4 linked regions of the Arabidopsis thaliana genome follow. The protein of the gene in region 4 interacts with the protein of the main gene of each other region in a biochemical or structural test. Each region holds a gene or a part of one and is shown on either strand. Other genes may lie near its edges. The genes, in order: AT2G01820, AT1G29730, FEI2 and AT2G45340.

Region 1 (6,969 bases), about 18 Mb from region 4:
CTTTTGAAGAAGAGAATCTCTATAAATCCGTTGCCAAATCATTCAAACCTAATCCTATCTCACCTTCGTCGTAATCCAATCTTCCGGCGAGTTTTTTTTCTCTCTCCGCAGCCGGAAGAGTGGACCGATTCTGCTGATTGATATGCATTTTGGTTTCTGTACATACAGTAGGTTCACAATCTAGAGATTTTGAAGGTTTTTTTTTCTTTCACCGAAGTAATGTAGCTTGCCATGACTAGTGTATGTTGTTAAACGACAACGTCTAAGACGACGGTTCAGTGTTGATCTTAGCGTAAGTATTAATCCCACGGGATCGTTTGTACTGTATCAGATTTGGTTAGTCGTTTAAACATTGTAATGTTCTAATAATAACTTTTCCATATATAACATCTTCTTATAACTTGAGACGAGACCATTTTGATTCATCTTTTGAGCTTGTTTAGCAACCAAATCGGTTAGCTAGTTGAACGAAGATCAGAGAAAGAGCTCAAACAACTCTTCATTAGCTATAGCTCAGTCGACGACTTGAGCTTTCAAACAACAGAAACAGAGCAAAGCTTAAAAACGACTGCGTTTTACTATTGGTTCGTCGATCTCACTAAACCGAGTGAGATAACCAAAGCCAATCAACAACCCTTTAATCGGATCTCTCGATGTAATCTATAAAGGATGAGAAGAATTAGGAACTTGTCCAAGAAGAGTATATAGAAAATATCTGACTTTTTGTTTGTTTTTTATATACTCTATCGACTTATTTTATCAGTTTCAGTAGGAACGCAACGAAATACTACAGAATGAATTTCTCCCGATTTAGGTAGAATTGGATCACCACACTGTTAGGTTCTAATTTGAAATGCCTTCCGACTAATACCAAGGATAATCATACCGTCTGCATTTCTAACTACCAAATAAATTAATTGGACCAAATCACAACTGAGAGACTTTCTAAACAAATTTGTTATTGTTTTCATGAAAAATCAAACTCAGGTATAGGAGTTAAAGTTTCCTTGTGCCACTACACCAAAGAGGTTTGGACAAATATCTGATTTTTAGAATTATTGAGAATTTAAGAAATGATTGAAAAAAGAAGTAAGTGAAATAAATGTGGTTGATGTGTGACCGTAACGAACAGCAAAGTGGACTAGTTGTTGTTGTCACGTAATCTTTCTACGTACACAAGTGTTCGATCTACATTTCGTGCGAGTTTATAGTATATGGTTGGTGCGTATAATACACCAATCTTTAGCTACTTTTACTATTTTTCTATAAGATTAACAACAACAATATACATGTCCCAATTTCTACATATCGTACTATAACTATTTTTAAAATAGTATAGTTATAATATTTATTACTAGTGAATAAAAACAGACATTCAATACCATAAGAAGAAGAATAGTTCTAGGTTAGAGTGAAACTGGTAAGTAATAATAATAACTCTCCAACCTAACAAACATTAAAAATTGTGGTAAACGGCGTAAGATAACGACCGTTAAAAAATCAGCCGAATGAAGATTAATGCGTGGCTAATATGCTCCGGATTTCACGGCGTCTGTCTTTTACAGTTAAAAACTTTTTTGTCGGGACTGCAAAAAAATCACATTTATCTTGTTTGGTCAAAATTAGTCATGAGAAGATTAAGACCATGCAATGCAAAGTACTCATTAATCTTTTAATTTTTTTTATTCAAAGTATATAATTACTCACGAAGTCGTGACACAATGAGTCAAAAAATGAATTAAATAAAACGGTGTAATCTTAAACTGTCTTTAGCACGTTACGATGAAATTTCAATTTTCGACTAATCTTTGACCCTAAACAATAGGTAACCACCGTCACCGTATTAAATGCTTTTTCTATTCTAAGAAATACAGATAAGTTTCCACGTATTGTATTCGTCCCACAAATATTCATAAGGAGGAAATAATATCCTTTTTTTATAGAAGCAAATGGAAATAATGTGAACAAAAATCCAAGATCTATTACAAAATAAAATATTTTAAAAATTTAGGAAAGACAATCGATATTATTAGCAGTTTAGTCCGAAAAATGCCGAAATACACTCAATCATAGAGATATTACTTTTATTATTACCAATTTTGACACAAATCAATTGTTAAAACTTCCTAAAAAGTAAAATTCTCTAATTGAATATATAAATAAAATATTTCAAACGTGATTTTTATTTACAAACTTTACAAATGTTAATAATATATTCACCTAAACTGAAAACATCTAAATGTCATAAAATTTGTATCTTATTCCTAATTCTGATTTTTTTTTAATATAAAGTTATAAACACAATTAGTAGATAATCTCATTATTCATAATTATGGATTATTCGGCGATTTTCACTATTGTTTTTCACCACTAATTATGCCACCTTGCCAGCTGTATTCACACACACACACACACTCTACACAAGCAAAACTTAAAGTATGCATTTTTATTAATTATGGTTCATCCATTTTATTACAGAAGAATAAATATTTCATTTGAATGAGAATAATAAATAAAAAGGCAATGCTTTTATGATCCTCTTACCTTTAATCTTCTTCGTCTCTCTATCTTCCTCGATCTCCGCCGATTCCTTCGTCTTTCCCTTTCCTCTCTGTAAACCTTTTCTTCTTCTTCTTCTTCAATGCCTCCCTAAAACCCTAGACTCAGAATTCTCAAAGGCGACACCTTTAACCTCCTCCACTCTGTTTCTTTCTCCAACAAAAAATGTCAAATTCCCATTTGGGTACTCTCTGTTTCATCATCTCTTTACTGGGTTTGGCCAATTTCTCACTTTCTCAAACCGGTCTCGATGATTCGACTATGCAATCTCTCAAATCAAGTCTGAATCTTACATCAGACGTCGATTGGTCTAACCCTAACCCTTGTAAATGGCAATCTGTTCAATGCGATGGAAGTAATCGTGTTACTAAGATTCAGCTTAAACAAAAAGGGATTCGTGGAACTCTTCCTACTAATCTTCAGAGTCTCTCTGAATTGGTTATTCTCGAGCTTTTTCTCAATCGTATCTCTGGTCCTATTCCTGATCTCTCTGGCTTATCTCGTTTACAGACTCTGAATCTACACGACAATCTTTTTACCTCTGTACCGAAGAATCTCTTCTCTGGTATGAGTTCTCTTCAAGAAATGTATCTCGAGAACAATCCGTTTGATCCTTGGGTAATTCCAGACACCGTTAAAGAAGCTACGTCTCTGCAGAATCTAACTCTCTCCAATTGCAGCATTATTGGAAAGATCCCAGATTTCTTCGGTTCTCAGTCACTTCCGAGCTTGACGAATCTGAAACTATCTCAGAATGGTTTAGAAGGAGAGTTACCGATGAGTTTTGCTGGTACTTCGATTCAGTCTCTGTTCTTGAATGGTCAGAAGCTTAATGGATCGATCTCGGTATTGGGGAACATGACTTCGCTCGTTGAGGTTTCTCTTCAAGGAAATCAGTTCTCAGGTCCAATTCCTGATCTCTCTGGTTTGGTATCTCTACGTGTGTTTAATGTTAGAGAGAATCAGCTCACTGGTGTTGTTCCACAGTCTTTGGTTAGTTTGAGTTCGCTTACTACTGTGAATTTAACTAATAATTATCTTCAAGGACCGACTCCGTTGTTTGGCAAATCCGTTGGTGTTGATATAGTCAACAACATGAATAGCTTTTGTACTAATGTAGCTGGTGAGGCTTGTGATCCTCGTGTGGATACTTTGGTATCTGTAGCTGAATCATTTGGATATCCAGTGAAGCTTGCGGAAAGTTGGAAAGGAAACAATCCTTGTGTTAACTGGGTTGGGATTACTTGTTCTGGAGGTAACATTACGGTTGTTAATATGAGGAAACAGGATCTCTCGGGTACGATTTCTCCGAGTTTAGCTAAGCTTACTTCATTGGAGACTATCAATCTTGCTGATAATAAACTCTCCGGGCATATACCTGATGAGCTTACCACATTGTCTAAGCTTAGGTTACTTGATGTGTCTAACAACGATTTTTATGGAATACCGCCAAAGTTTCGGGATACTGTGACTTTGGTGACTGAAGGGAACGCTAACATGGGGAAGAATGGACCTAACAAAACGAGTGATGCTCCTGGAGCTTCACCAGGAAGTAAACCTTCAGGAGGAAGTGATGGCAGTGAAACTTCTAAGAAATCAAGCAATGTCAAGATTATTGTTCCTGTGGTTGGTGGGGTTGTTGGTGCATTGTGTTTGGTTGGGCTTGGTGTGTGTCTTTATGCGAAGAAAAGGAAGCGACCTGCTAGAGTTCAAAGTCCAAGCAGCAACATGGTTATTCATCCGCATCATTCGGGTGACAACGATGACATTAAACTCACTGTTGCAGCTTCTAGTCTTAACAGTGGTGGAGGAAGTGATAGCTACAGTCACAGCGGAAGTGCAGCGAGTGATATTCACGTTGTTGAAGCTGGGAACTTGGTTATATCGATACAGGTCTTGAGGAATGTGACGAATAACTTCAGCGAAGAGAATATTCTCGGGAGAGGTGGTTTCGGGACAGTTTACAAAGGCGAACTCCACGATGGAACAAAAATAGCTGTGAAGAGAATGGAGTCTTCGGTTGTGAGTGATAAGGGACTTACTGAGTTTAAATCTGAGATCACTGTTCTGACTAAAATGCGTCATCGTCATCTCGTTGCGCTTCTCGGTTACTGCCTTGACGGGAACGAGAGGCTTCTTGTCTACGAGTACATGCCACAGGGGACACTAAGTCAGCATTTGTTCCACTGGAAAGAGGAAGGGCGAAAACCGTTAGACTGGACTAGACGGCTGGCGATTGCATTGGATGTAGCTCGAGGTGTCGAGTATCTGCACACACTTGCGCATCAGAGCTTTATCCATAGGGATCTAAAGCCATCAAACATCCTTCTTGGTGATGATATGCGCGCTAAAGTCTCTGACTTTGGGTTAGTACGTTTAGCCCCTGATGGCAAATACTCCATTGAGACTCGAGTAGCTGGGACTTTCGGATACCTTGCCCCAGAATACGCAGGTTTGTACTTACCCAAATTTTAAAGTCTCTGCCTTTCAATTGATTTGCACTTGCCCAGTGTCAAAGTTTCATACTTTGGCCGTTTTGCACTTAAATTTTCATGCTTTGATCTTATTGCATTTTCCTAAATGTTATAGTTTCATCCTTTGATCGTTTGGCAATTGTTCTATACTCTGATTTTGGCAGTGACGGGAAGAGTGACGACCAAGGTAGACATTTTCAGCCTTGGGGTCATACTTATGGAGCTAATCACTGGTCGTAAAGCCCTAGACGAGACGCAACCCGAAGACAGCGTCCATCTAGTCACATGGTTCCGTCGGGTAGCAGCCAGCAAAGACGAAAATGCCTTCAAAAACGCAATAGACCCAAACATCAGCCTCGACGACGATACCGTAGCCAGTATTGAAAAAGTCTGGGAGCTTGCTGGTCATTGCTGTGCCCGTGAGCCTTACCAAAGACCTGACATGGCTCACATCGTTAACGTCCTTTCTTCACTCACCGTCCAATGGAAACCAACTGAGACCGACCCTGATGACGTCTATGGGATAGACTACGATATGCCGCTTCCGCAGGTGCTTAAGAAATGGCAAGCTTTCGAGGGACTAAGCCAGACCGCGGATGACTCGGGATCTTCGTCTTCGGCTTATGGAAGCAAAGACAATACGCAGACAAGTATCCCAACTCGCCCATCTGGATTTGCTGACTCGTTCACTTCTGTGGATGGACGTTGAAAAAATCAAGATTGCGTAAAACGTTTTAGTAGAAGAAGAAGATGAAGCATTGTGTGATAAATCTCTCTCTCGCTCTCCCTTTTTTTGCTTTTCTCTGAAGCATATTTACTTATGACTTCGTTTTTATCTACTGCAAGCTTTTGGTTAGTGTATTTATCTATCTACTTTGTGTAGTTTTTATGCAAAGATAACAATCTTTGAGTTCTTAAAATTTTAATATTTCGTCAGTAAAATCCAACTCATAAACCGTAAAAGCTGAACCAAACAGTATTTTGAACTCACTGCGGTTTAAGTTATTAACATGTGTTTAGGGGTTTAAGCAAGTAGATTACTATAAGTACACTTTCTATGAGAAATCATTTTGTATTCCAAGCCCACAAGTCCAATAAAGCCATGTGTTTATGGGTTTGGACTTTGGACCATACACCCACTGGAATATCAAAGCAGTCTCCGTATTCATTCAATTTGCTATGAGCCAGTTGGTCCTTCCCTTCTAATGAAATACATGATTTTGGTGTCCCTCATTTTATAAAGCACACTGTCCAATCCAATCTTCATAATATTAAGCATCTACTATTTAGGTTCACTGATCATATGATATAAAATCTAAACATCAAAGGTGACACCAATAATTGGAACTAAGTTAGGCAAACTTAACCGTTTACATGTAAGGAACCAATTATCACTTATAAACCATTCACAGCTTTTGATGTAGTTAAAAAAGATTAGATATGAGCTCCAATATAATGCAGATTCAACAACAAAAACAATACTAGAGTTATATACTCATATGTCACTAATTATTTTAGATATATATTGATAAGTTTGTATAATTATTAACTTATAATATTGATGTGATCATACATTTAATACATAATTTTAAAAATATATATTATTTTATTATCTTATGGATTTGTATTCAATATTACACTAGATTAATTCAAGAACAAAAAATAAAGTTAGGGTTAAGACATCATTGAGTCACCATGCCAAGTGGTATGTTCATTTTTGTTGTATTTCTTCTAATCTTTCATCCAGTGCTACTATCAGCATAGATCAACAACGTTGAGACGAAAAATCTGTATTAAAACGTGCAAGATAAATTGAACAAACACATATTATTTCCACGTTTTAATAATCATCGCAAGTTTTTGCAAATGGTATGTATTCAACTAAATCATATTTCTAAAACGTAAAAACGTGAAAACCCGCATACGTATTATCTCG
Region 2 (8,991 bases), on a different chromosome or scaffold from region 4:
AAATTGAAAAAAACACACATCCAACTAATTATATAATTCAGAACTTACATCGATTTGAGATATGGAAGCTTGGTCAATTCAGGTGGAAGTTTCCCTCGAAGACTCATGGTCTTGAGAGCTCTGTATTTATATATAATAATGCAAAACATTATTAGAAAAGAAGAGAAAGTAAAAGGATTAAACGAAGAGAAGACAAAAAAACTAACACTCACAGTTCTGTAATACGACATATCGTGTTGTTGTTGAAGCTACAATCACAACCAATGGTGTTGTTGATATCTAGATTCGGAACAAAATCAACTTCTTGTATGATCTTTAGAGTTTTTGAACTGCAAGGATCTTCATCCCTTAGGTTCAATCTCTTTATACCAAGTGTAGTAGCTATCTCCTTTAGTGCATTCACTGCATTAATATAGCAAAAAAACATATTGAAAATAAGTATATAAAATATATACGGATTCTGATTATGATTTATAAAATTTTTAGAAATGATACATTCATCTGCGTGAAGAGATGAAAAAGAAGCCAATGTTGTTATATTTGTGAGGGAACTTAAGATAATGGTAAAGAACAGGAAAAAACTCCAGAGGATGATTGACATATGTATATATAAGGTATATTTAGTGATTCTTTGTATATATGTGTATTTAATTTGTTTGGCAGATCACAAAGTCATCACCAACAAGCAAATTTATAGGGTTTTCTTAGGTTGTCGGTGAGTAGAGAGTATAGGTATATATTGACCAATTCACCAAAATAAACATTAATGTCGACGTTAATAGTGGTGAATAGAGAGGTTAATGAATGCTTGATGTTTCATGTCTCCTTATGTATTGGTTGATTAATTTTAGAACCTCAACTAATTAACACTCTGTGGAGGAAGTTGAACAATTCTTGCATCTAACTTCTCCAATTGAATGTTATTCATCATACTATAAAACCTTGGGATAATTTCCTCAAAATGCTATGCTTTGTTCTTATTTATATATATCAAAGCGCGTATAGAACCTTATGATGTATGACTTCTTTAAAATGCTCTTGTGCATGTTTTAAAAATCAAAATATTTACCATGTTATCAGCAAATTAATACTAATAGAAAGCCAACACTTGGTGACTAAACTACGGCCAATCCGTACGGCCAATCACACAGACAATATACATCGATTACACACACCACTGCCCACTCGTTATAGATTACACACACCATTGACCACTCGTTATAGATTACACACACCACTGACCACTCGTATTTGTACTAAAAATGAAAGCATATAAAGCCATGTCTTTACTTTCTTGGATGAAGAGTCAAAGTAAACGGCTAAACGCTAGGACAAGGACCTTTTGGATTTCATTTTGGAATTTTCTCTATAGTTTTAATTTTATAACGAATTTCAATTTAAGTATGATTTTTTCTTCTAAAACAAAATAAATTCTTTTCCAAGTACAACTAGCGATATTAGCCCTAATTACAATCTTTTCTCGAGCCCGAAGTAGCCTACAACAACAACCCTAGCGTAGAGATAATCAGAGGGTTCAGGCTACTGTATAGTAAAGACAATGGACTCGGGGCTGAGTGGGTACAGATCATAAGCAGATTCAGATGATGAAGGAATCGACAAGATATAATCAGACGACAAAGACGATGGCTTGAAGTGCAAGTTATCACTATACACTCCAGGGTCTGATATGATCTGTTCTATCTCAGTCTCCCCTTCAAGCATCTTCACAACTTGCGACATGTTTGGCCGTAATGTCGAAGACTTGTTGGCGCATAAAAGTGAAACCTTTATCATTCTCTCTGCCTCCATCACATCGAACATTCCTTCCAGCCTCGGATCCAGAATTTCCGCGATATCCCCTTTCTTTTGCAACACAAATGCCTGAAATTGAAAACTAAGAACCTTTTTATTTGAGAGAAAGCAGAATTCTTGTGGAGAAAAAGACTGAATCAGTACCCAATCGAGAAGGCCAACACAACATTCGTCATCTGGCGTGTATTTCGCGTTGCTCTTTCCGCTAACAATCTCCATTGCCACCACACCGAAGCTGTAAACATCTGCCTTTTCTGTTAGGTGACCCCTCATTGCATATTCAGGAGCCATATATCCTCTGCAACAAAAATAACAATAACTGCTATTGAAACATCATCTTATGCTGAACTCATCTGTACGACTGAATATACTACTAACATTGTTCCTGCAACTCTGGTGGTAATGTGACTCTGATTGTCTTCATGGAGCCTGGCCAACCCGAAATCTGATATCTTTGAGTTCAGATCCTTGTCAAGTAGAACATTTGTCCCTTTAATGTCTCGGTGAATGATCTTAACTGCTGAATCTTCATGGAGGAAAGCAAGCCCTCTCGCGATTCCCAAGCATATTTTGTGTCTTGTTCCCCATTCTAGTTTGAGACAGCTTCTTCCTGCTCCCACAGTTTACAAGCAAATATTCAATCTCAAGACAGAAGAGAATGCAGTCAAAGGATTTGGTCCAATCATCTATCAGATAAATTTACCAAATAATGCATCAGAAAGACAATTGTTCTCCAAGTACTCATAGACAAGAAGCAGCTGGTTTTTCTCAACACAGCATCCATAAAGCTTCACAAGGTTCGGGTGCTGCAGGCAAGCGATCATACCGATCTCGTTTACAAACTCTTTGTTACCTTGATGTGATTTGGAAGATAGCTTCTTTACCGCAATCAATGTTCCATCTGGTAATCGCCCCTGTATTGTCAAATTTTTGGCTTTACCGTCACCTGTTTTTAAGAACACTAACATTGATTTCTAGAGCTTGAAGACTCCTTTGTACCTTATAAACAGATCCAAAGCCGCCTTCTCCAATCTTGTTTAAGGGATCAAAATCGTTGGTCGCGACTTTTAGTTGCCTCAAACTGAAGGAACCTGTTCTTAGATCAGGTCCCTTAAGCTCTTTATTTTCAAAAAAAAAAACAGAACTTTACATGGTTTTTAAGTAGCGAATTCAATACCTCGTTCTGCTGCATTTGCATTGCTAACACACTTTCTCCAACAGAATGCGGCCAGGAGCAAGAAAGCAAGAGAGAGTGTTAAGCCAAGAATTAGAGGATATTTTGTTGGTTTATGATCTTTTTTTACCGGAAGAAATTGCACTGGAACTGAAGGCGGACAAAAGAAAACAAAGAGAAAAAGATTAATCCATATTCAAGATTTAGCAGGAACAAAAGGACTCAAAGACTTGAGATTTTCTTCTTCATACCACCGCATTCAGATTCTGAACCTGGTAAAACAAAAACAAGTAAACAATTAGGATAAAAATTTCTGAGGGAAACTTCATGTTTACCTCCACAGAATTTTACTTACTGGGACAAACTGAGACTGCAGAGATAAGAGAGCCATAGTACCCTCTTTGAGGAATGATCATTGTGCCTTTCCCTGCCCAGTAAAGCCGTATCTCTAAAGTGTTATCAGTCACGGTCGTGTTTACTTCTCTTATAACTTCTTTGTGAGTTCCATTAGCCTCCTCTCTAATGCTGAAATCCTCCCAAATCAACTTCCCCTGAACATATATTAAATTTCAAACTTCAAGAATCGGCTAAAACCCCTGAAAAGGGGTTCTTAAAGAATCTGCGGCAAAAGGCTATATGTACCTGAATGTAAATGTTAAAAACCCGTTTCGCTAGTTTAGTGTATGGTTCCACATCTGAGAACTGAATCTCTGCAAAATGGAGTTTCACATTGTAGCTTCCATTTTCGAAGCAAAATGCATAGTAAGCCAAACTGAGGGGAGAGCGCCGAGCATTCTGGTAAAGGTCTGGATATTTTGCTGAAACTGCAGATTCTGATGAAACTGTGTATGTATCTTCTGTTATTGCATCATCCATAAAGTCACCAGTATTGCTGTATCCCCAATTTTTCCTATAATAGTTCGTAGCTGATCCGGTAAGTCCATAGTTATCACCTTCATACAGAAACCTTCCTCGAGAGTTTTCGATGGTTACATCAGGTCCCCCACAGTTTATATGCAGCGATCTACTATCTGTGGAAAGTAAACAATTTCCAGTTCATATGCAGAAACTCGAAAAAGGGTATTTGGAAATCAATAAAAAGCAAAAGAACCTACAATTTTGGCATTGCTTTATGGCGGAACATGGAAGAAGTCTGGTTCTGTATACAGAACAATGAGTTAATAACAGTACACGAAGTAGCAAGTGATTAATAAGATTGACAAAATGCTCTTACAGACGGTTTTTTGAGTGTGAGCTCTCATATGTGTTTATATTCCTGCATGGAAACTTATGTTAAAAGTATCCAGAAAATTTAAGCAGATGAAAGGCGGTAGTTAACAACAGAAAAAACATACTTCCTCTCTTTGCACATTGGAGACCACGTGAAATTATTATAGGAAAGATCACTGCACATATGAATATTGGTAAAAGGAGAGATTAGTGTAATACCGAGAAATGACTTGACATATATGACTGCTATAAAATAAGAATGGTCATACATATTTGTGCTTGCAGTAAGGAAAGCTCCTGTTTCAACCTTTCCAGACAACATGTTTCCAGCTAAATATCTGAAAAATGAAACCAGGAGATGAGTTCAACAGCTATAGTAAATTTTAATAGCATACCTAATCCTTTTGATCATCTGACACTTTAAGACTTACGTGTATTTTGGGGCAGTTGCATATGCTGGTATTTCTCCAGTCAGCCTATTAAAGGAAAGATCCCTGTCAAAAAAAAAGGCGTTATAACTTATAAGAGACTGGACAGTGTTTAGCAAGATGCGTGGTGATAAAACATGAGACTTACAGAGTCATTAAACTGGGCAGATCCCAGATACTGGTTGGAATTGGTCCAGATAAGTTTATGTTTCTCAAAACCCTGAAAATGATCAACATCAGTCTAAAGTCTAAACACAAGTAATTGACCATATGATCGTATCTGGACCTGAGACATAAAAATGTACTATTACATACAAATATTTCAGGCTCGTGCTAGTTATCTGAGGAACATGTCCCAATCCTGCAACCGTGTCACTGATTCTCCTGCATAGAAAGAAAAGGCCACAATTTCGTTTCAAAAAAGAACATAGGCTTCTGCAACTTACAAAATTATTGCTTCAACAAATATCTAAAGAGGATAAAAAACTTACACGTCGATCAAATTCTCCAGATGAAAAATGGAGTCTGGAATAGGTCCTCTAAGGCCACTCGCATAGAGTTCTCTGATACAACGTTATCAGCACAAGTCAGAAAACATTGAAATGTACAAATACTAACTATTTAAGTGTAATGAAAAATAAAGATACTTTACTCACAATCTTTGAAGTTTTGGTAACTTCCCAATAAACTCTGGAATCGATCCGTTCAGGCGATTATCACTTAAATGGCTGTAAACAATATAATGAAAAACAATTCAGCATGATGAACACATTCTAAAGCTGATATTTTGTTAGTAATCCAGATGAGAAAGATGATCTTACAGATTAGTTAGCTTTGTTAGTTTTGCTAATGTCTTGGGGAGGCCTCCGACAAGTTGGTTGGAAGAGAGTCCTCTGGAATCAGCAAAACAAAATTAAATGGATCATGTTTGAGAAAATCACTGGGTCATAAATTTGTTTCGATCTCTTCAAAAGTGATTTTTAAAAGGGTCTTACGTACAGTCCTTGTAGATTCACTAGGTTCCCTAGTTCCTTAGGAATAGTTCCCGAAAACTGATTGGCTTCAAGAACTCTGCAATCAAACAAAAAGACGAAAGATTTAGTTTTCAAAAAGGACAAAAAGCTTTATATGTAATCTCATAAGATCAACAAAATAATGTTAAGAACATACAAAAGGGTGAGGTTAATAAACTTCCCCAATCCTTTGGGAATGTCTCCTGATAAGCGGTTTGCACAGACAGAGCTGCGGAGAAATATATCAGGTAACTTCAGAACCTTTTCTTACTTTCCTAGCAATAAACAAACTTGAGAACAAAGACTTACATAGATTTGAGGTAAGGCAGTGAGGCCCATTCCATAGGAATTGAGCCATAAAGGTAATTATTGTATAAGTCACTACAAAAACAAGCAAAAGAATTCCAGCCATTGTTATGTTTCTTCTACGATAGCAGTAGATATTGAAAGTAGTTGAAACACTGAAAACCCTCCTCACATCGATTCAAGATGCCGAAACTTGTACAGCATTGGAGGAAGTCTACCTGGAAGATTGAATTTCTGGAGGACACTAGATATGAGGTACATAGTAATTGGTCAGAAACAAGAGAAATAAGCAGAAAAACGGTTAGTTTCTTCTTTTTCAGAATGGTTTTTCTTACAAGTGTTTGATATGACAAGTGCTGTAGTTATTGAAATGACAGTCACATCTGATTGTGCTGTTCTGTCCTTCCTTGAGAACACCTTGAGATATCACTAGAGTCTTTGTGAGACATGGATCTTCACTTAGGTTCAAGTGCTTCACACCCAATGTTTCAGTGATATCCTTCAGCGCTTCCACTGGCGAAGACAGCAAACCAGAAACAAAATCAAGTTTAGTTCAAATTCACAAAGAGAGGCACATGTATATATGATATAATGCATTGAAACTACTAAACCTTCATCTGGGTGCAGAGAAGGAGAAGCAGATACAGTACATAATAAGTAGATAAGTGTAACAACAAAGAGAATAGAAGAGCTAAAAAGGCAACTTTTCGACTTAATCATGAGATTGTAAGCTGCAGACATGGAAGATTGTGTTCAAGTGATCTATCTATGACTTAAAACAATACATAAATAATATATAACTGAAACAATACGAATGCACATATATATATATATATAGAAAATTGTGAAAAAGTGAAATGCAGTTTGCCTAAGTTGAGGTTAAGAGTAAGCACATGGGGTTAGTCATTGCTTGTATTAGGCAGCTTGCCAAATTCAGGGGATAATTACAATCCAGCCTCTCATCTGGATTTATTTACAATATGAGCAGAAATATTAGAAAATTCTCTTCAGCCTTTCGCCTCCATTTTACTTGCAGAACTACTAGAAGAACACCTAAAAGGCTAAAAAGCAGTAGGAGTTTATGGTTCCAAAAGCATTATTGCTAACACTTTCAACAGAATATAGCCTAAACAATTCTAATTTTAGATCTTGAGTCACATAATTTGAAGATCATGGCTTGTTTTGTTAATAGATAAAAAAATTGGAGGGATTGACAATTTCTATGCATAACTTTGGTTGAGTACATGAAACAAGACTTCGACTAGTTGCATATTTTATTCAGTCTTCTTGAGAGTTGACTTCTACTTTCCCTTGGATCTATAAAGCTAGTGGGTATAAAATTTGGTTTACTCATATTAATCTTATTGAATGTCCTCTGTTAAAGGCCAATAAAGTCAGAAGCTCTGCAACTGCCAGAGAGAGAGATCCAAATAACCAAATATATCTCAGACTCTCTCATACGCAAGAATTCCCTATCCCTAGCTCCTTATCAAATAAGACATCATTTTTAGATCAGACTACCATGAAATCTACAATGACATACTTGTTATCCAAAATATCATGCACACCGAAAATCATCTTACCAATGGTGTAAAACGTTTACAGGGCAAGAAATCAAGCTGTCCCTATCATATTGTCTCTAGAGACTTCATGCTTATAACTTCATTACACACGTTTTGGGAATGGTTTCTTCCCGAATCATCGTCAAAACCACAATCTAGAGACATATGCTCAGCCAATAAAAAGTCTTCCAGTGCACAGAGAAACAGATACAAGACTAAAAGAGGAAGTATGATGTAAAAAATTAAAGACACCAAAGATGTCACATTAGTAGTTGTATAACATGGCATTTGATACCTCAGTTGCAAATTGTGTTAACCAGAACATTTAACTTGATTTGACTAACATTTCATGAAGAAGTCATTGTAGCTAGAAAAAAGGCAAGACTTTGTTACCTGATTTAAAACTAATCACTGCAAAGAGTGTCCTCAACAGTTCATGATAGATTCTAAGCAAAAGAAAAAGCTTTGATGCACGGTATAAGCTAGCAAATGACCCGATCAATAACAGAGATGTGACCACCATAATTCACGAAGTGATGACACTCTACAGCTCTAGTCTAATTATGCAGTTTTAATCTCGTTATCTGTGTGTGTTCTTTCTTCATAGATGTCAACGCAAAATGCAGCTTCAAGCTTACCAAGTTACAATCTCTACCAGACAAAAAGCTATGGCCTACTGCATTTCAATCATCAGAATTCTTAATATCTGCAATTTGACGAATTTCTCTTTGTCCACTGATGATACTTGAAAGCCAAAAAATAACAGAATCACAGACCTCAAAGTCATCACGTTGGGGAAGAAGAAGTGCTGCAATGTAGGCGCCATTGTCGAGCTCAGGACGGAGCCACCGGGAAGTATCATCGTGATGTTCTTTCCGGCGGAGAGGGTGATAACGTCGACATAGCTGGCTTACGAGTACACCCACGGCGCGAACGAAAGAACCCTAATTTCATACCCCAATTTAACGATTTTTGGTCAATGACTACAAAGCGTTATTTTCTTCTTCTTATAAACCAAAAGTTTCAGTCTTTGACAATGAAATTTGTGAAAAAAATGTAACAGAGATTGTTATGTAAAGGTCGTTAACAATGGGATCTAGGGTCTAGAGAAAACAACGGACTCGGGACTAAGTGGGTACAAATCGTAAGCAGATTCACAGGACGAAGTAATCGACACAAGATAATCGGAAGGTAAAGACGATGACCCTATCTCCGCCGTTTTCTTAAACCTCAATTCATCACCGTACGCTCCAGGGTCTGATATGATCTCTTCTATCTCAGTCTCTCCTTCAAGCATCTTCACAACTTCTGACATAGTTGGTCGTAATGTTGGAGACTTGCTGGAGCATAAAAGTGAAACCTTTATCATTCTCTCTGCCTCCATCACATCAAACACTCCTTCAAGCTTCGGATCCAGAATCTCATCAAATGCTCCTTTCTTTTGTAGTACAAATGCCTGGAATTTG
Region 3 (8,151 bases), 3.7 Mb from region 4:
TGCTCTTTTCCTATGCCACACTAGATACCTAGCATAACACAGAACTGGACAAAGAGCCACAATGCTATATTCTACGTCACTCCTTCTAAGATCAGTATATGGTTGAATTCTGGGTTATAAAGCACTTTCATTTCTATGTCAGCTCACCTATCTAGTTTCAGATACCAGTATCAGCAATCTAGCAAGTAACTCTATGGCTAGATGGTGAACCTATACATCAGAGTGCAAGGGTTAACCGTATGTGTCTAGATAACCCTAGCAGTGTTGCAAAAACATAGAATGAATGACATACCAGAAAAACATCGACGGCCTCTAATTCTACCCAAAGCAAGAAAGCAGCCTGCGCCTTGTCCACAGTATTCTTCCGACCCGTAAGGCATTTGAGCGCAATAGCATCGCAAACTTCCTTTGCATACCTTCAAAAGCAGAAACAAACTAATTATTCACATGCAAACGAACACTCCACTCTGCCCATTTCTAAAGCAATAAAAATAAACAACACCATACCTTCCAGCATCTGAATCGGCTGCTCGCAAAAACGCAATCAATGCATCAAGCGCTTTCTCTTGCACCGGCGCATTAGAATCTGCCACCGTCTTCCTAAACAAGTGACCTGCGAATAAAAAATAATAATCAGAAATTCAATCAAAAGTAAAGCAAAATGGAACCCTAGACCAATCACATTCCCACTCAACAATCCAAATTCAAAACAGATCCACACCGATATAAACCACCCTAATCAGATCTGAGCTTCAAAAACAAAAACCCTAACATAATAATAATAAAAAAACGAGGTAGAGAAACTCACCAAAATCGCGAAGACGAGGGTCCTTAGGATCAGTAATCGAATCAAAAACAGAAGCTAAATCGACGTTAGCTTCGTTCCTAACTTTCCAATTCTTATGCCCAAGCCGATCCTCCCAAGGAAGTTTTTTCGCCTCCTTCAATAACTTCTCATCCTCCGTCGACATTACTCCACGAAATTATCTCTCCGACGGTATCGATCTTATCGATCTATACCAAGTTTTTTTTTTCTTCGTACGGTCTCTTGGAAACTTTCTCTCTCTTTTCAAAAAAATTTCTTCGTGTTGTTAGTGCCGGCAAGAGAGAGAGAGAGAAGGACAAAAAAGAAGAGTAGGGTGGAGCGTAATGAGAGAGAGAGAGTGGGGGAATTTTGGTTTCTACGTTTAAATCGGTGGTGTAATTTTTTTGTTAAAAACCCTTCACGCGCGTTTTGATTGGAAATGTTTACACGCGCGATTATTTCAAATCTTAAAACGAGCGTTTTTCTTTTGCTTTCTCCACGTGGAGAGATCGGCATTTTCAAACTATTTTAGGAAATGATTAACAGTACTGAATTTTCCTATTGTTGGTTCTGTAAATATTTTCAAAATATATTTACATTAACAATCTATTAATTTCTAAGAAAATAAAGTAATATTTTGAAATGAATAACTCATTTTTAGTTATAAAAATATTTATTTTAAAAAATCAACAAAATCATGAGTTATTATTACTTACTTATTGGATTATCTTTTCTTCTATAAAATACAAATAAATAGTCATTTTCTATAAAACTAGACACGTAAACCAAAATGGATTTATTAGTTTGATTATGGAAGTTCAAAAACATTGTGTATTTTATGATTTAAAAACTAGTTAAAATTTATTATTTTAATATCCTAAATATTTATGCTAGGATCTGATTTCGCTTTGGATTTTAATATATTTGAAATATCTAATTCAAATTCAGAATACAAATACTCAAATTTCAAACAAACTTTGATTGATAATTAGTACAAGAATATTTAAGCCACACCACACCTTACACCTTTTCCATCTCCATCCTCATGTCTTAGGTGATGTAACTCTCTATCTCCAGATATCTTTTCTTGTCTACTGCTAACACATGAAACAACAACTCAAATTTAAGCCATATTTTTACAATGGTACCAAATTTATAAGAATCATAGATGAAATTACCAAAACAAGAAGTTACGTGGAAAGATTGAATCCAATATTAATATTTTGATTTCTATTATAAAAGCAAATGAAATAATGATTATCAGTCCATTGTTTGTTCCATTTTTAAGTACACTTGTTTGTTTGATTTAGGTGAATAAGATCCGCTAAAGCTGAAAATACAAGAATTGTCCCTAAAGATAGTAAAGTACAGTACGCTTCCAAATAAATAACAATGGGCTTTAGTAGGCCCACGCAATAACGATGTTTTAACTGACCCAACAAGCCCTTGTCCAGTTCTGGCATTATACAATGCGTCGGTCGACACGTGTAATAAGTCATGATCGGCACGTGTGGTCTCCACTTCTCCTCTCTCATTGGTCGTAAACTCGTAACTAGCCGATTCCTTCTCCAAAGTATCTCACATTTCCACTGCACACTCTACTTTCTCTCTCTTCACTCTCTCATAAATCACAACAACAACAAAAAAAAAAAAGTTGTTAGTTAAGACATTGCTTTACAGCTCAATTGCGTCTTCTTCCTCTGTCTTATTCTTCATCTTCATCTTCCTCCTCGCGGATCCATTTTGAGGTTCGTGTAAATTCCCATTCTCTTTCGCCATTTTTTTGGGGGAAGTGAGATTTTGGTCTGAGTTATCGGCGAATCGATTTCGTTTTTTTAGATTATTGAATGGTTTTGTTGACTCTTCAGTTCTTCTTGTGCTGTGATTGCAATGATGTCCTCCGAATTTCGTGATTTAAGTTCGATTTTAGCTATCCGAGCTCCTCTTTAAATAATGAGTTGGGGTTTTATTCTGAAGGTTCGATTTCTGATTTTGCAAATTTGGGAGGTGGATTTGATCCGATTAGATAATCTCACTGTTCTGGGTGCTGTAATTGTTAATGAGACCATGCAAATGTTGTGCATCGATGTTGTGGAACGCTTGATTTGTAATTGAGGATTTGGTTGTCTGATTATTGGAAGATCGAGGCTTGATAGAGTTTCAAATGAGGGTCAGCTGTTATTGTTGTACGGTCTAATGACATTATTTTATTTAACTTCAGGAGTCTCTTTTTGTTTCTTGAAGATAGACTGGGCGTCACGGAGCAGCTGAGTATATGCTACGAGTGTTGCATTCCGGAGGCTGTTCTTTCAGATGATTGGCAGTAGCTATATTATGCTTGAACGGTGCCATAATGGGCATCTGTCTAATGAAGCGCTGCTGCTCATGGTTTCTTTTGATCTCGTTTCTCTCTGCACTAACGAATGAAAATGAAGCAATTAGTCCTGATGGTATACAGCGATATGTGTCTTTAATCTCTTCTATATTTTGTCTTTGACAAGTCATGATCACCATTTACTCCGCCCAGATTGCTGAAGGGATTAAATCCTTTTTTTCTCCAGGTGAGGCGCTTTTGAGTTTTAGAAATGGAGTTTTGGCTTCTGATGGTGTTATTGGTCTGTGGAGACCAGAGGATCCTGATCCATGTAACTGGAAAGGAGTGACCTGTGATGCAAAAACAAAAAGAGTTATAGCCTTGTAAGTTTAAAATTTCTTTAGTTTAAATTCTTTTTTTTTCTTCAGTATGTGGTGCATCTTTTGTCGGTTCCTGAAGTTTCTTGTGTGCAGGAGTCTTACTTATCACAAATTAAGGGGACCTTTACCCCCTGAGCTTGGAAAGCTGGATCAGTTAAGGCTTTTGTATGTGCTCCTAACCTTTTAATTAATATTATTGATGTCTAGCATATGCTCTACTACTCATTGTATGTGTATTCCCATGTCATTGCAGAATGCTTCACAACAATGCGTTATATCAATCAATACCTGCCTCATTGGGAAATTGCACGGCATTAGAGGGAATGTAAGGGCTTTCCCAAATACTTATGCTGATTAGTGTGATTACACTTCATTGCTGATCGAATTCTCGTTTTGTTTTTCCAAATTTTATATTATTTCCTAACAATTACTAGTGTTTTTCTTTATTTGCTTCTATATAGTTGGTGCATAATATTGATGCGTCTTGTGAGTGATGATAAACTCAGTCACAAGTTTAGCTAGTTGACAAGAATCGTTGTGAATCTTTTATAATTTATTGTCCTTTTATTCCTTGCAGATACTTGCAGAATAATTACATCACTGGGACAATCCCAAGTGAAATAGGAAACCTGTCCGGGCTGAAAAACCTGTACGTGGTTTTTTTCCTCGTTCTTCCAAGTGGATTTGTTTTCTTAGCCTCTCTAGGATCTGCTATTTGTTGTTCTGCTATCTACTCTCACCATTTAGTATCCTCTATAATTATATTGTGAACTACAAGAGGTTCTTCTGATCTTCCATGCAGCAACAACATAATGTTTTCGAAAGTACTTATTTCTACAGTCGTGGTGAACCCTAAAAATTATAGGGAGTTTGACATAACTTATATTTAATCACGTATTGTGTTATTTTTTCCGGGTGAAAAACTCTCAAATATGATGATGAGAATTGTAAATCTATGCTAGGCTTCTTTCATATTAAATGGGCATATCATCTACATTCTTCTGAACTACTATGATTTTTGACTCTCATTTATGAAGGGACCTCTCAAACAACAATCTCAATGGAGCTATCCCTGCTTCACTTGGGCAGTTGAAAAGGCTTACTAAATTGTGAGTTGCTAATCTCTAACTTGCGTATTTTATTTTGCAGTCCTGTAGATATATGAGTGTCAATGTTACTAACTATGTTGATCTTCTTTTGAAGCAATGTCTCAAACAATTTCCTGGTGGGAAAAATACCTTCTGACGGCCTACTCGCTAGACTCTCGAGGGACTCGTAAGTATAATTTATATATACCCATTTCCCCAACCAAATTTTTGTAAATTATGGTTGATAAATCTTTCTACGGTTGATCTGGCAAAGCAGTTATAATTTTTTTTGTGACGTTGTGTACGATAGCACCCTGTTACTAGCTTTGCAGCAGTGTAGCTGAAAATAACCAAGTCGTAAACTGTTGAATCACTCTTGCAGCTTCAACGGAAATCGTAACTTGTGTGGAAAACAAATCGATATTGTGTGCAATGACAGTGGAAATTCTACAGCTTCTGGGTCTCCAACAGGTAAAGCAACTGTGTTTTAATCAATTTCTTGTCAGGATATATGGATTATAACTTAATTTTTGAGAAATCTGTAGTATTTGGCGTGAAATGAGTTTGCTTTTTGGTTTCTCCCGTGTTATAGGCCAAGGAGGTAATAACCCTAAAAGGCTGCTTATAAGTGCTTCAGCTACTGTGGGTGGGCTGCTCCTAGTGGCGCTCATGTGTTTCTGGGGATGCTTTCTCTATAAAAAGCTTGGTAGAGTTGAGAGTAAAAGCCTTGTGATAGATGTCGGTGGAGGTGAGCCATGCTGACTCATATTGTAGATATTCTCTCTAAGAGTTATATTTTTCTCTCAAAACTTGACACCATAAGAGACGATTTTTTCTATCCAGGTGCGTCTATAGTGATGTTCCATGGAGATTTGCCCTACGCTTCCAAAGACATTATCAAGAAACTGGAATCTCTTAATGAAGAGCACATAATAGGCTGTGGAGGCTTTGGCACAGTGTACAAGCTGTCTATGGACGATGGCAATGTTTTTGCGCTGAAAAGAATTGTTAAGTTAAATGAAGGTTTTGATCGGTTTTTTGAAAGGGAGCTTGAGATTCTTGGGAGCATCAAACATCGTTACCTTGTGAATCTACGTGGATACTGCAATTCACCCACATCAAAGCTTCTGCTATATGATTACCTTCCTGGTGGTAGCCTTGATGAAGCTCTACATAGTAAACCCTCAACTTCATATTTACGGGTTTCCTTAACGGAGAATTATGATTCTATTAAGTGAAATTTTTGAATGTGTAGAGAGAGGCGAGCAGCTGGATTGGGATTCGCGAGTTAATATCATAATAGGAGCGGCAAAAGGGTTGGCATACTTGCATCATGATTGTTCTCCTAGGATTATACACCGTGATATAAAATCAAGCAACATCTTACTGGATGGAAATCTGGAGGCTCGGGTATCAGACTTTGGGCTTGCCAAGTTGTTAGAGGACGAAGAATCTCATATTACAACCATTGTTGCAGGCACATTCGGTTACTTGGCTCCAGGTACTCAATTACACAGTAATAACAATGCTTATTACTTGTTGTTACTATCTGTTAGGACCTAAATCCGTGAACTCATAATGAGTGTTTTTTGCAGAGTATATGCAAAGCGGTAGAGCGACTGAGAAAACCGATGTTTACAGCTTCGGGGTTTTGGTTCTTGAAGTCTTGAGTGGTAAACTTCCCACGGATGCCTCATTCATCGAGAAAGGCTTTAACATTGTTGGTTGGGTAAGCATAACGAGATCCAGCTTAGATAATAATATTGACTAGTAAAAGCTTAAATTTTGTTTTTTATAATCTTGCAGCTAAACTTCTTAATCAGCGAAAACCGGGCAAAGGAGATTGTTGATCTAAGCTGTGAAGGAGTGGAGAGAGAGAGTCTCGACGCACTTCTATCAATAGCAACAAAGTGTGTGTCGTCAAGTCCAGATGAGCGGCCAACAATGCACAGAGTCGTCCAGTTACTTGAATCCGAAGTTATGACTCCTTGCCCCAGCGACTTCTACGACTCCAGCTCCGATTGATCTCACGTTCACAAAGTCTGTCTGCCTTCTCTTTTCAGAGTTCCTTTTCAGTTTTACAGTACAAAGTTCTCGAGCCATTCATAGTCGGTACCTTTTTTTTTTTTTTTTTTTACTTTGAATTGGTAGATTGGTGACACGCCTCAATTGATCTGATCATGAGATTAAAATGTATATGACCATCCATTGTAGAAACACTGTTCCTAAGAATCTGAATAATTTCTCTATCATAATACTTTCTTGTTTGCTTTCTTAAGTTTTATTATACATGTTGTGTACTTCGGAACTAGTTGAAACCAATCATATAATATCGATGAGAAGATCAATATAGAAAGAAGGTAATTATTTTTACTAGCAAGGATAATTTTTAAGCTTTGATTCTGATTTTACATCTCCATAACAAACAAATGATTATCATGGACAATATAAAATAAGCTCGATACGACGCCGTCAAATCACAAATTCGCAGAGCAATCCATGTGTTGAAACGACACCGTCCTCGTCTCCAAGTCATACCCAACTAGGAAATCCATCTGAGCAAAGTTCCCATAGATGGCAACCTCGGTGGTCGGAACCATACTCAAGCAAACCATGTCTTCACTCAGTTTCACGAATGCGTTGATCGGACTCAGCCTCACATCTGCACCCGTGAAATGCACCGTTATCTCCGGCAAACCGATCTCTGCACTTCCGGATTTGAAACAGTGAGACAAAAGCCCTTGTGGATCACTCACGCGCTTGGCTCCGGTCACTGATTCCTCCACCGCCGAGCTAAATTTGTCAAAGAAACCAGCTTCGAGGAGGGTCAGTGTCGTTCCAGAGTCGATGATGATGTTTCCAGATGTCTCCGAGAGTATTCCGTCGTCGTTTGGGTTATACGAGCTTCCGGTGTAAGGAATCTTTTTCTTCCCGACGGAGATGGCTTCAAGCGTCAAGTAGTAGTAAGTAAGAGGCTCTTTATCGACCAACGGAGTTGATACCACGCCGGAGTCTTTGCTTAGACTTGAAGGAATCGAGTTAGTGCCTAGGTTTATGACGCTTGTGCCATTCGTGGTAGCTGACTTGTGAGACAAGCAATAAGAAAATTTCTTCGAAATCGACGAACCGAGCTGGGAGATTAGTGATAAATGACCACCACCTAGACCGATAATCCCAGAACCAGTCTCGTCGAAGGTACCACCGTTATTGTAGCCACAACCGAAGACAGTACCAGGAAAAGAAACAGGGGACCCTGAAGCAGAGTCAATAGAGACAGTTTCCGTGGCAACGTCTCCTTTGCTGAACGACTGATCACCGTAAGAGTAACGGTACTTGCATATATTGTTGGATTCATCGCATCCCCGTTCCGTACTGGACAAGGCCTGGCAGTTACGTGAGTCACAAGGCTCGCTCTTATAAGTAGAGGATTTCTTCTTGTCGAAGATTGGACCGTTTTCTTTGTAACATTGTTGACAAGGCTTACATTGGACCCAAGTTAGGTCACTTCCTGTGTCAGCGATCGCAAAAACCTTTATTGGTGGAGTACCGATGGTGATACTCATG
Region 4 (6,681 bases):
TGGTTATGCTCAGACATCAGATGGAGTTGACATAGCGTCTAAACTGTTTGCTGATATGCCTGAGAAGGACTTGATTTCGTGGAACTCAATGATAGATGGATATGTAAAACACGGAAGAATCGAAGATGCTAAGGGTTTATTCGATGTGATGCCGAGAAGAGATGTAGTTACTTGGGCTACCATGATTGATGGGTATGCAAAGTTAGGTTTTGTTCATCACGCTAAGACTCTGTTTGACCAAATGCCTCATAGAGATGTTGTGGCATATAATTCTATGATGGCTGGTTATGTTCAAAACAAGTATCACATGGAAGCTCTTGAAATATTTAGTGACATGGAAAAGGAGAGTCACTTGTTACCCGATGATACGACTTTGGTAATAGTTCTGCCTGCAATTGCTCAGCTTGGCCGATTATCCAAAGCCATAGATATGCATTTGTACATCGTGGAGAAACAATTCTATCTAGGTGGAAAACTCGGTGTTGCTCTCATTGATATGTATTCGAAATGCGGAAGCATACAACACGCCATGTTGGTTTTCGAGGGAATCGAAAACAAAAGCATTGATCACTGGAATGCTATGATTGGTGGGCTCGCTATTCATGGTCTAGGGGAATCTGCATTCGATATGCTCTTGCAGATTGAGAGACTCTCTTTAAAACCAGACGATATCACCTTTGTTGGCGTTTTAAATGCTTGCAGCCACTCTGGGTTAGTAAAGGAAGGCCTTCTCTGCTTTGAGCTCATGAGGAGAAAACACAAGATAGAACCAAGATTGCAACACTATGGTTGTATGGTAGACATACTATCGAGATCCGGAAGTATAGAGCTAGCCAAAAACTTAATAGAGGAAATGCCTGTTGAGCCAAATGATGTCATATGGAGAACGTTTCTCACCGCTTGTAGTCACCACAAGGAGTTTGAAACGGGAGAGCTTGTCGCAAAACACCTTATTTTGCAGGCTGGATATAACCCGAGCTCATATGTGCTACTCTCTAACATGTATGCTAGTTTTGGAATGTGGAAGGATGTTCGTAGAGTTAGAACGATGATGAAGGAAAGAAAGATAGAGAAAATTCCTGGTTGTAGTTGGATTGAGCTCGATGGAAGAGTCCATGAGTTCTTTGTAGATAGCATTGAAGTTTCCAGTACATTGTAGATAAAACGAATGTGCAGCAATATATTTTCAAGGGCTTAAACCTATTCTGCAATTCCTTGGCATACATGAAGACAATGTCACATGGTTGGTTTTGTGCAGCTAAGATATGTCTGGAAAAAAACTTCCCACAAGATCACTTAAAACGTCTGAAAAGTGATTGTTTTTACAGCCTAAGTACATCAGCTACAGTTACAAGGAGATAAGATTGTTACATCATGAACCGAGTTTTTCGGATCCCCTATACTGAACCTAAAACAGAGTTAACATCAGGGGAATGGTGATAGTCTGAAACCTTGGTATGCTTTATATTCTTGGACTATCAAAAGCAAGAATCATGTTAAACGGGAAACTAATAATCCGCGGCGAGATTATTCAGTTCTTGGATAACATCTTCCATGGATGGTCTTTGGTTTGAGGATTCATGAGTGCAGAGAAGACCAAGTCTAGCGAGCTGAGCCGCTTCTACTTCCGGGAAGTTCTTTCGAAGATTTGGATCCATGAAGTCTTCATTCAGTCTTCCTGACTCTACAGCTTGTAAGATCATCAAATGGCTGATTTTGCTTTTACCACTCAGTATCTGCAACAGAATCATACCAAATGCATAAACATCGCTCTTATCAGTGAACCTCCCTGTAGTTATGTACTCAGGAGCTAAGTATCCCATTGCCGCACTTGCTTTGAGCTTCGAGAAAACGATATCATCTGTGAAAAGCTTGTGAAGACCGGAATCTGCAAGAGAAGGATTATACCAGTGATCAATGAGAATCTTCTCTGCAGATAGATTCTGGTGAACTATTGCAGGTTTGTTCCCATTTTCTCCATGCAAGTACACAATCCCTGAAAGGAAGAAAAAAAAGAAATCAGATTTCACATACAAAAAACCGAGTTTAGTTTACGAAAGAATGAATAGCAGAATCCAACCTCTGGCGATTCCGTTTATGATGGAAACTCGAGTTGCCCATTCAAGAACCTCTCCAGTCTCATCCTTCACATCAAGATACTGCAAAAGATTACCATTGGGAACAAACTCATAGATAAGGAAACATTCTCCACGTCCTTTCGAGCAGCAGAATCCTCTCAACCTCGCTAAATTCTCATGCTTCAACAGTGTCAGCATCTTCAACCCTTTGAGAAACTCGGATTCATCGGATTTACAGCTCGATTTAGCTATACATTTGATAGCTGCAACAGAACCATCTCTAAGGATACCTTTATAAACTGAAGAGACATTACTCTTCCCCAACAAGTTAATCTCAGAGAAGCTCTGAGTAGCTCTCTCAATCTCCTCAAGATTGAACATAAAGCTCTCAAAGACTTCTTGAGACAATGCACTGTTGTTGTTACTGCTCTGTCCTCGTCCTAACGGATCCCAACCACTTGCGTACTCTAAGCTGATCAATGGAGAAGAGCTTTTTCTTCTAGAAACTTCTTTGAAGTTGTACTCAGTACTAATCCTACCGTCCATTGCATCAAGACTGCTTCCAATCTTCTGTTTCCTTCGTCTGTACCATGTGAATGTTGAACCGCCAAAGATTGCAACTGCGAGGATTGATCCTATTAGACCCATGACGATTCCTAAAGGTGAAGACTTTAAGGATTTTGATGAACACCCGCCATTGTTGTTACTGCAATTGCTTCGTTGTAAATCTGCTGATTCTGGTTTCACGTCAACTGTTGTGAAATTCGTTGGGTTTGTTGGGTCTGGTCGGTTAGGGTTCGGACCGTTTAAGCCGGTGCAAGCTTTCAAATCAGTGAAACCATCTCCGCATAAACCGTGATTGTTTGAATACTGGAATCCATTGTTTAGCCTCTTCAAAGCTTCATAATTCATAAAAATCAAGAAACAAACAAGTCAGCAAAACATCTTTAATGTGGTTGTAAAAACCGGTTTAGAATTGATATGGTTTAAGTTCTCCACGATCCGGTTTTGGATTGGTTCCCGGTTCTGTTTAATCGGATTGGTCAACACTGAACCGGTTTAGAATCTGAAGAATTTATGAATCTTGAGGGAAAATAAATTATTACCAGAGGGAACGAAGCCGGAGAAGGAGTTATTACGAATGTCGAGAACTTCAAGCAAAGGAGCACCGGCGAGTTTCACCGGAACAGGACCAAAGAGGTTGTTGAAGCTCAAATCAAGCCTCGTTAACGTATCAATATCGCCTAAACTCGCCGGAATGGCGCCGGAGAGTTGGTTATACTGTAAAGCCAAGACAGTTATCTTCTTAAGAGAACCAAACTGTGTCGGTATACTTCCACTTAACTTGTTGTAACATAACTGTATAACTGCAAAAAAAAAAAAAAAAGTGTTATGAATATATAGATGCAATTATATTTGCCCTTATTTTTGTTGAGTTTTACATTTTAGTTTCAAAACCCCAAATAAAATTGTTTTTGAGTTTTGCATAAAAAAGAGTGAAAGATGAAGGAGACAATAGAGAGTATCCCTAGTTTCTAGGAGACTCAAAAATCTAAAAACTTGAATGGATGATTAAAAAAAAAAACTAAAATCTACACCATTCAAGACCTAAACTCTTTTTAGCTAAGTTTTAATAAACCAAATTTGACCCGCTTAAGGTGTTTTAGCTGCAATAAATGAATTATAGTGAGTGAGGTTAACAAAGAACACATGCATAAATAGACCGACCTTGAAGATTGTCTAAGTTCCCGATTAGAGGAGGGATTTCACCGGAGAGATTGTTGACATTGAGGTATAAATCGGTGAGGAGAGGCAGATTTGAGATATCTTTAGGAATATGACCGGTCAAGGAGTTGAAGTGAAGGTATAAACCGGTTAAGCTTGTGAGAAGACCGATTGAAGGAGGGATAGTTCCAGTGAGACCCATTCCTTGAAGAGAGATGTTAGCAACACGGCGGTTTCCGTCGCACGCGACACCGTCGAAGGAGCCAGAGGAGCAAGGGTCGGCGTCGGGAGTCCATGAAGTGAGGAAACGTTTTTCAGGGTCGAGAGAGGATTTGATATCGAGGAGAATGTCGAGCTCTGAGGAGGAGGAAGACAGTGCAGAAGAAAGGAAGAAGAAGAAGAGGATGAGAAAGAGTGTGAGTGGAGAGACCATGTTTGGTTGGAGAGAAGAGAGAGAGAGAGATGAGGAAGAAAATGAAAATGACTCTCTCTTGTGGTTTTGAAGAAAAAATCTTGTCCATTGTATTTATAAAATAGTAGTTCTTGATTGTTAATACTAAGAAAAGCTTAAACCACAAAAGTATAGATATCGTGAACATAATAATAATAAAAAGTTAGTTCAACTATGAAAATGTAAAATGATAACATAGAGAACTATATAGATCACAACTCTAATTTTTTAATATATAAATGTATATAGACTAATCTCCAATGTAAGTTATTGCAATGTATTAAGACATTCATATAGTAGCTAACTATACATAATTGTTATTGCAATGAAAGTATTTGAACCATAGTCCATATGTTACTCTTATGATAATTTTAAACCACTTGACTTTTTATCACTTTTTAATTACACATATTACTGATCAAAATCAACAGTAAATTTTTTTAACTACAATATTTTGATTGTTTGTTCATGTTACATCAAGTATTCTACATGTATAGTTTCACATTTTGAGTGGATTGTTTTTGATTGATTAGTATATATATATAAGTTTATTTGGAAATTGAAGGAAAACAAAAGACTCATGAAAATTGAAAACATTGAAGTCCACGAGTTCATTTCATTTTCTGTACTTTATACGGTAAAGATTACTTTTAAAGTCTTTTCAGAGGAAAACAATAATAGTTAGGCGAATCTTAGCTTTTTTTCAAAATTGAAAATGATACCATTCTCCCTGGATTTAATGGTAAGAAAAGTTGTTTCTTTTTCAGTGCACCAGCTATAAAATTGTACTTTTTATATCATTTGTTTTTAACTTTTCATATATCCATAAATGTTGGATATATGTTTTCTTATAAATTTCTATTAATTAGCGAATTCATAACTTATTAATGACCATATTTACTGAAAAACATCAAAATTGTGAGGTTGGGATTTTAGTTAGAAAAGAACTATATTTGACTAAATCAAACCTCGAGTTTATCCGATCATCATCAGTAAACACCCTTAGATATTACATGTACAAATAACCTGATAACAAGCTTTATATGTTCACATGGAGAATAAGGTACAAAGATAAATGGGATCTTCTTGATATTATTCCATTAAATTACTATATTTGATGCAAATAATTGTTCCATGAATAACAAAAAAAAGGGTAGCTAATATTTTATATTATATAAGAACAAATTAAAAGGTAAAAAAGGCATCCAAGAGGCATGGGGCTAAGAGTACATCAAATGGGACAAAGAAGATGATGGAGGCAAGTCAATAGTAGCAACATGTGAACATTTTTCTAACACAATTAATAAACAAATTTACGTAAAATTTTACAAACATGTGAACTTGTCTTGAGTTAATGTTTTTGCTATCTTCTATATCTGATCATAGCAAAAGGTAAAATGGACCAACACCTCGCTCTCCTCTAAGTGTAACATGTGAATTTACAGAAACAAGAAAGACATAAAGCAAGAGAATAAAGCAAAAGGCTAAGGTCTACTTAAAAGATATTCCGTTTTCTCTGTAATTTTCTTACTTCGTGGGTAGTGGTGGATGATATTTTTGGTGGATGATAGATGTGTGTGTATTTCATTATCTATTTATAGAATGAAATTATTATTTGAGTGAGAAAATGAGAATTTTCAGAAAGAAAGTGTCCATGATAACTTAATTAGTGCAGTCAAATCTCTATATGATGATGACATTGTGTTAATTAGACAATATTAATTTGAGTTCCTAAGTTGATTGAATATGATTTTACTTTACTTTTAAACTATAGTAATAGTACGTAGAACTCATTTGAAAGTAATAGTTTATGACCAATTAATTAGCCGATACACAGTACATCTAAGTGGTAAATTTTATAGAATTACATCACTAGTTCATCTCTTTTGATTTGTTATAAGATGAAACAGTAGTGTGATATCATTTAAAGTCACGCCTTATATTTGGCTTCGTCTCTAGAGAAATCCATCCCTCACACGTTATCTAACCCAGCCTGTCCCATTTTTGTTTGAATGCATGAGTACGATGTTTCGTATATTGTTACAAAAACTTCAAAAATTTATCAATAATCATTATAATTGTATGTTGGTACTTGGTAGGCACCGCATTTTACTGATTATCATCCATGTTTTGTTTTTGAGCAAAACTATGTATCTTGTTTTGCTATATATCGTGTCTAATTGTGAGTGGTAATATTAGTCTTTTTATTATTATACATAATTTTGTTTTGCTTCTCGTAAATTTAGACGTTGAAAATCGAACTTATGTGTGTTCGATGTGTTCTTTGATTTATTACATCTAAAATTGGTCCAAACGCTATATGTCATATAGGCGTGCAAATTAATTATGATATGCTATCAAACGCGTACATTTTCAAATGCATCAAATCTTTAATTATATGATTATACTGTACTAGTTTAGTTGTTT

Evidence for each region.
Region 1: the proteins of AT2G45340 (region 4) and AT2G01820 form a complex in vitro, tested with the Arabidopsis thaliana proteins (one large-scale study listed by BioGRID).
Region 2: the proteins of AT2G45340 (region 4) and AT1G29730 form a complex in vitro, tested with the Arabidopsis thaliana proteins (one large-scale study listed by BioGRID).
Region 3: the proteins of AT2G45340 (region 4) and FEI2 form a complex in vitro, tested with the Arabidopsis thaliana proteins (one large-scale study listed by BioGRID).

What each region holds. Positions count from the first base shown.
Region 1 is NC_003071.7:356,437-363,405, reverse strand, and holds AT2G01820 (Leucine-rich repeat protein kinase family protein), read left to right. Parts: upstream 1-2,481; 5' UTR 2,482-2,724; coding exon 2,725-5,011; intron 5,012-5,197; coding exon 5,198-5,742; 3' UTR 5,743-6,053; downstream 6,054-6,969. Other genes in the region: WOL (CHASE domain containing histidine kinase protein), read left to right, coding at 1-74. UniProt on the Arabidopsis thaliana protein: Involved in auxin signal transduction and cell expansion and proliferation regulation.
Region 2 is NC_003070.9:10,399,171-10,408,161, forward strand, and holds AT1G29730 (Leucine-rich repeat transmembrane protein kinase), read right to left. Parts: upstream 6,744-8,991; 5' UTR 6,705-6,743; coding exon 6,575-6,704; intron 6,477-6,574; coding exon 6,299-6,476; intron 6,208-6,298; coding exon 6,136-6,207; intron 6,039-6,135; coding exon 5,967-6,038; intron 5,887-5,966; coding exon 5,815-5,886; intron 5,716-5,814; coding exon 5,644-5,715; intron 5,538-5,643; coding exon 5,466-5,537; intron 5,373-5,465; coding exon 5,301-5,372; intron 5,208-5,300; coding exon 5,136-5,207; intron 5,029-5,135; coding exon 4,960-5,028; intron 4,865-4,959; coding exon 4,793-4,864; intron 4,711-4,792; coding exon 4,648-4,710; intron 4,555-4,647; coding exon 4,486-4,554; intron 4,393-4,485; coding exon 4,342-4,392; intron 4,263-4,341; coding exon 4,221-4,262; intron 4,146-4,220; coding exon 4,102-4,145; intron 4,018-4,101; coding exon 3,629-4,017; intron 3,538-3,628; coding exon 3,342-3,537; intron 3,259-3,341; coding exon 3,238-3,258; coding exon of another isoform or gene 3,217-3,237; and 17 more. Other genes in the region: AT1G29720 (Leucine-rich repeat transmembrane protein kinase), read right to left, coding at 49-120, 213-402, 496-601; AT1G29740 (Leucine-rich repeat transmembrane protein kinase), read right to left, coding at 8,209-8,434, 8,647-8,981.
Region 3 is NC_003071.7:14,959,648-14,967,798, reverse strand, and holds FEI2 (Leucine-rich repeat protein kinase family protein), read left to right. Parts: upstream 1-2,360; 5' UTR 2,361-2,553; exon of another isoform or gene 2,554-2,782; intron 2,783-3,026; 5' UTR 3,027-3,158; coding exon 3,159-3,255; intron 3,256-3,366; coding exon 3,367-3,502; intron 3,503-3,592; coding exon 3,593-3,664; intron 3,665-3,752; coding exon 3,753-3,824; intron 3,825-4,076; coding exon 4,077-4,148; intron 4,149-4,536; coding exon 4,537-4,608; intron 4,609-4,702; coding exon 4,703-4,774; intron 4,775-4,969; coding exon 4,970-5,058; intron 5,059-5,179; coding exon 5,180-5,335; intron 5,336-5,430; coding exon 5,431-5,763; intron 5,764-5,842; coding exon 5,843-6,088; intron 6,089-6,182; coding exon 6,183-6,316; intron 6,317-6,393; coding exon 6,394-6,612; 3' UTR 6,613-6,948; downstream 6,949-8,151. Other genes in the region: MOR1 (ARM repeat superfamily protein), read right to left, coding at 293-416, 508-613, 809-971; AT2G35615 (Eukaryotic aspartyl protease family protein), read right to left, coding at 7,065-8,151. UniProt on the Arabidopsis thaliana protein: Involved in the signaling pathway that regulates cell wall function, including cellulose biosynthesis, likely via an 1-aminocyclopropane-1-carboxylic acid (ACC)-mediated signal (a precursor of ethylene).
Region 4 is NC_003071.7:18,689,294-18,695,974, reverse strand, and holds AT2G45340 (Leucine-rich repeat protein kinase family protein), read right to left. Parts: upstream 4,312-6,681; 5' UTR 4,237-4,311; coding exon 3,807-4,236; intron 3,446-3,806; coding exon 3,185-3,445; intron 2,978-3,184; coding exon 2,081-2,977; intron 1,997-2,080; coding exon 1,509-1,996; 3' UTR 1,250-1,508; downstream 1-1,249. Other genes in the region: CRR4 (Pentatricopeptide repeat (PPR) superfamily protein), read left to right, coding at 1-1,159.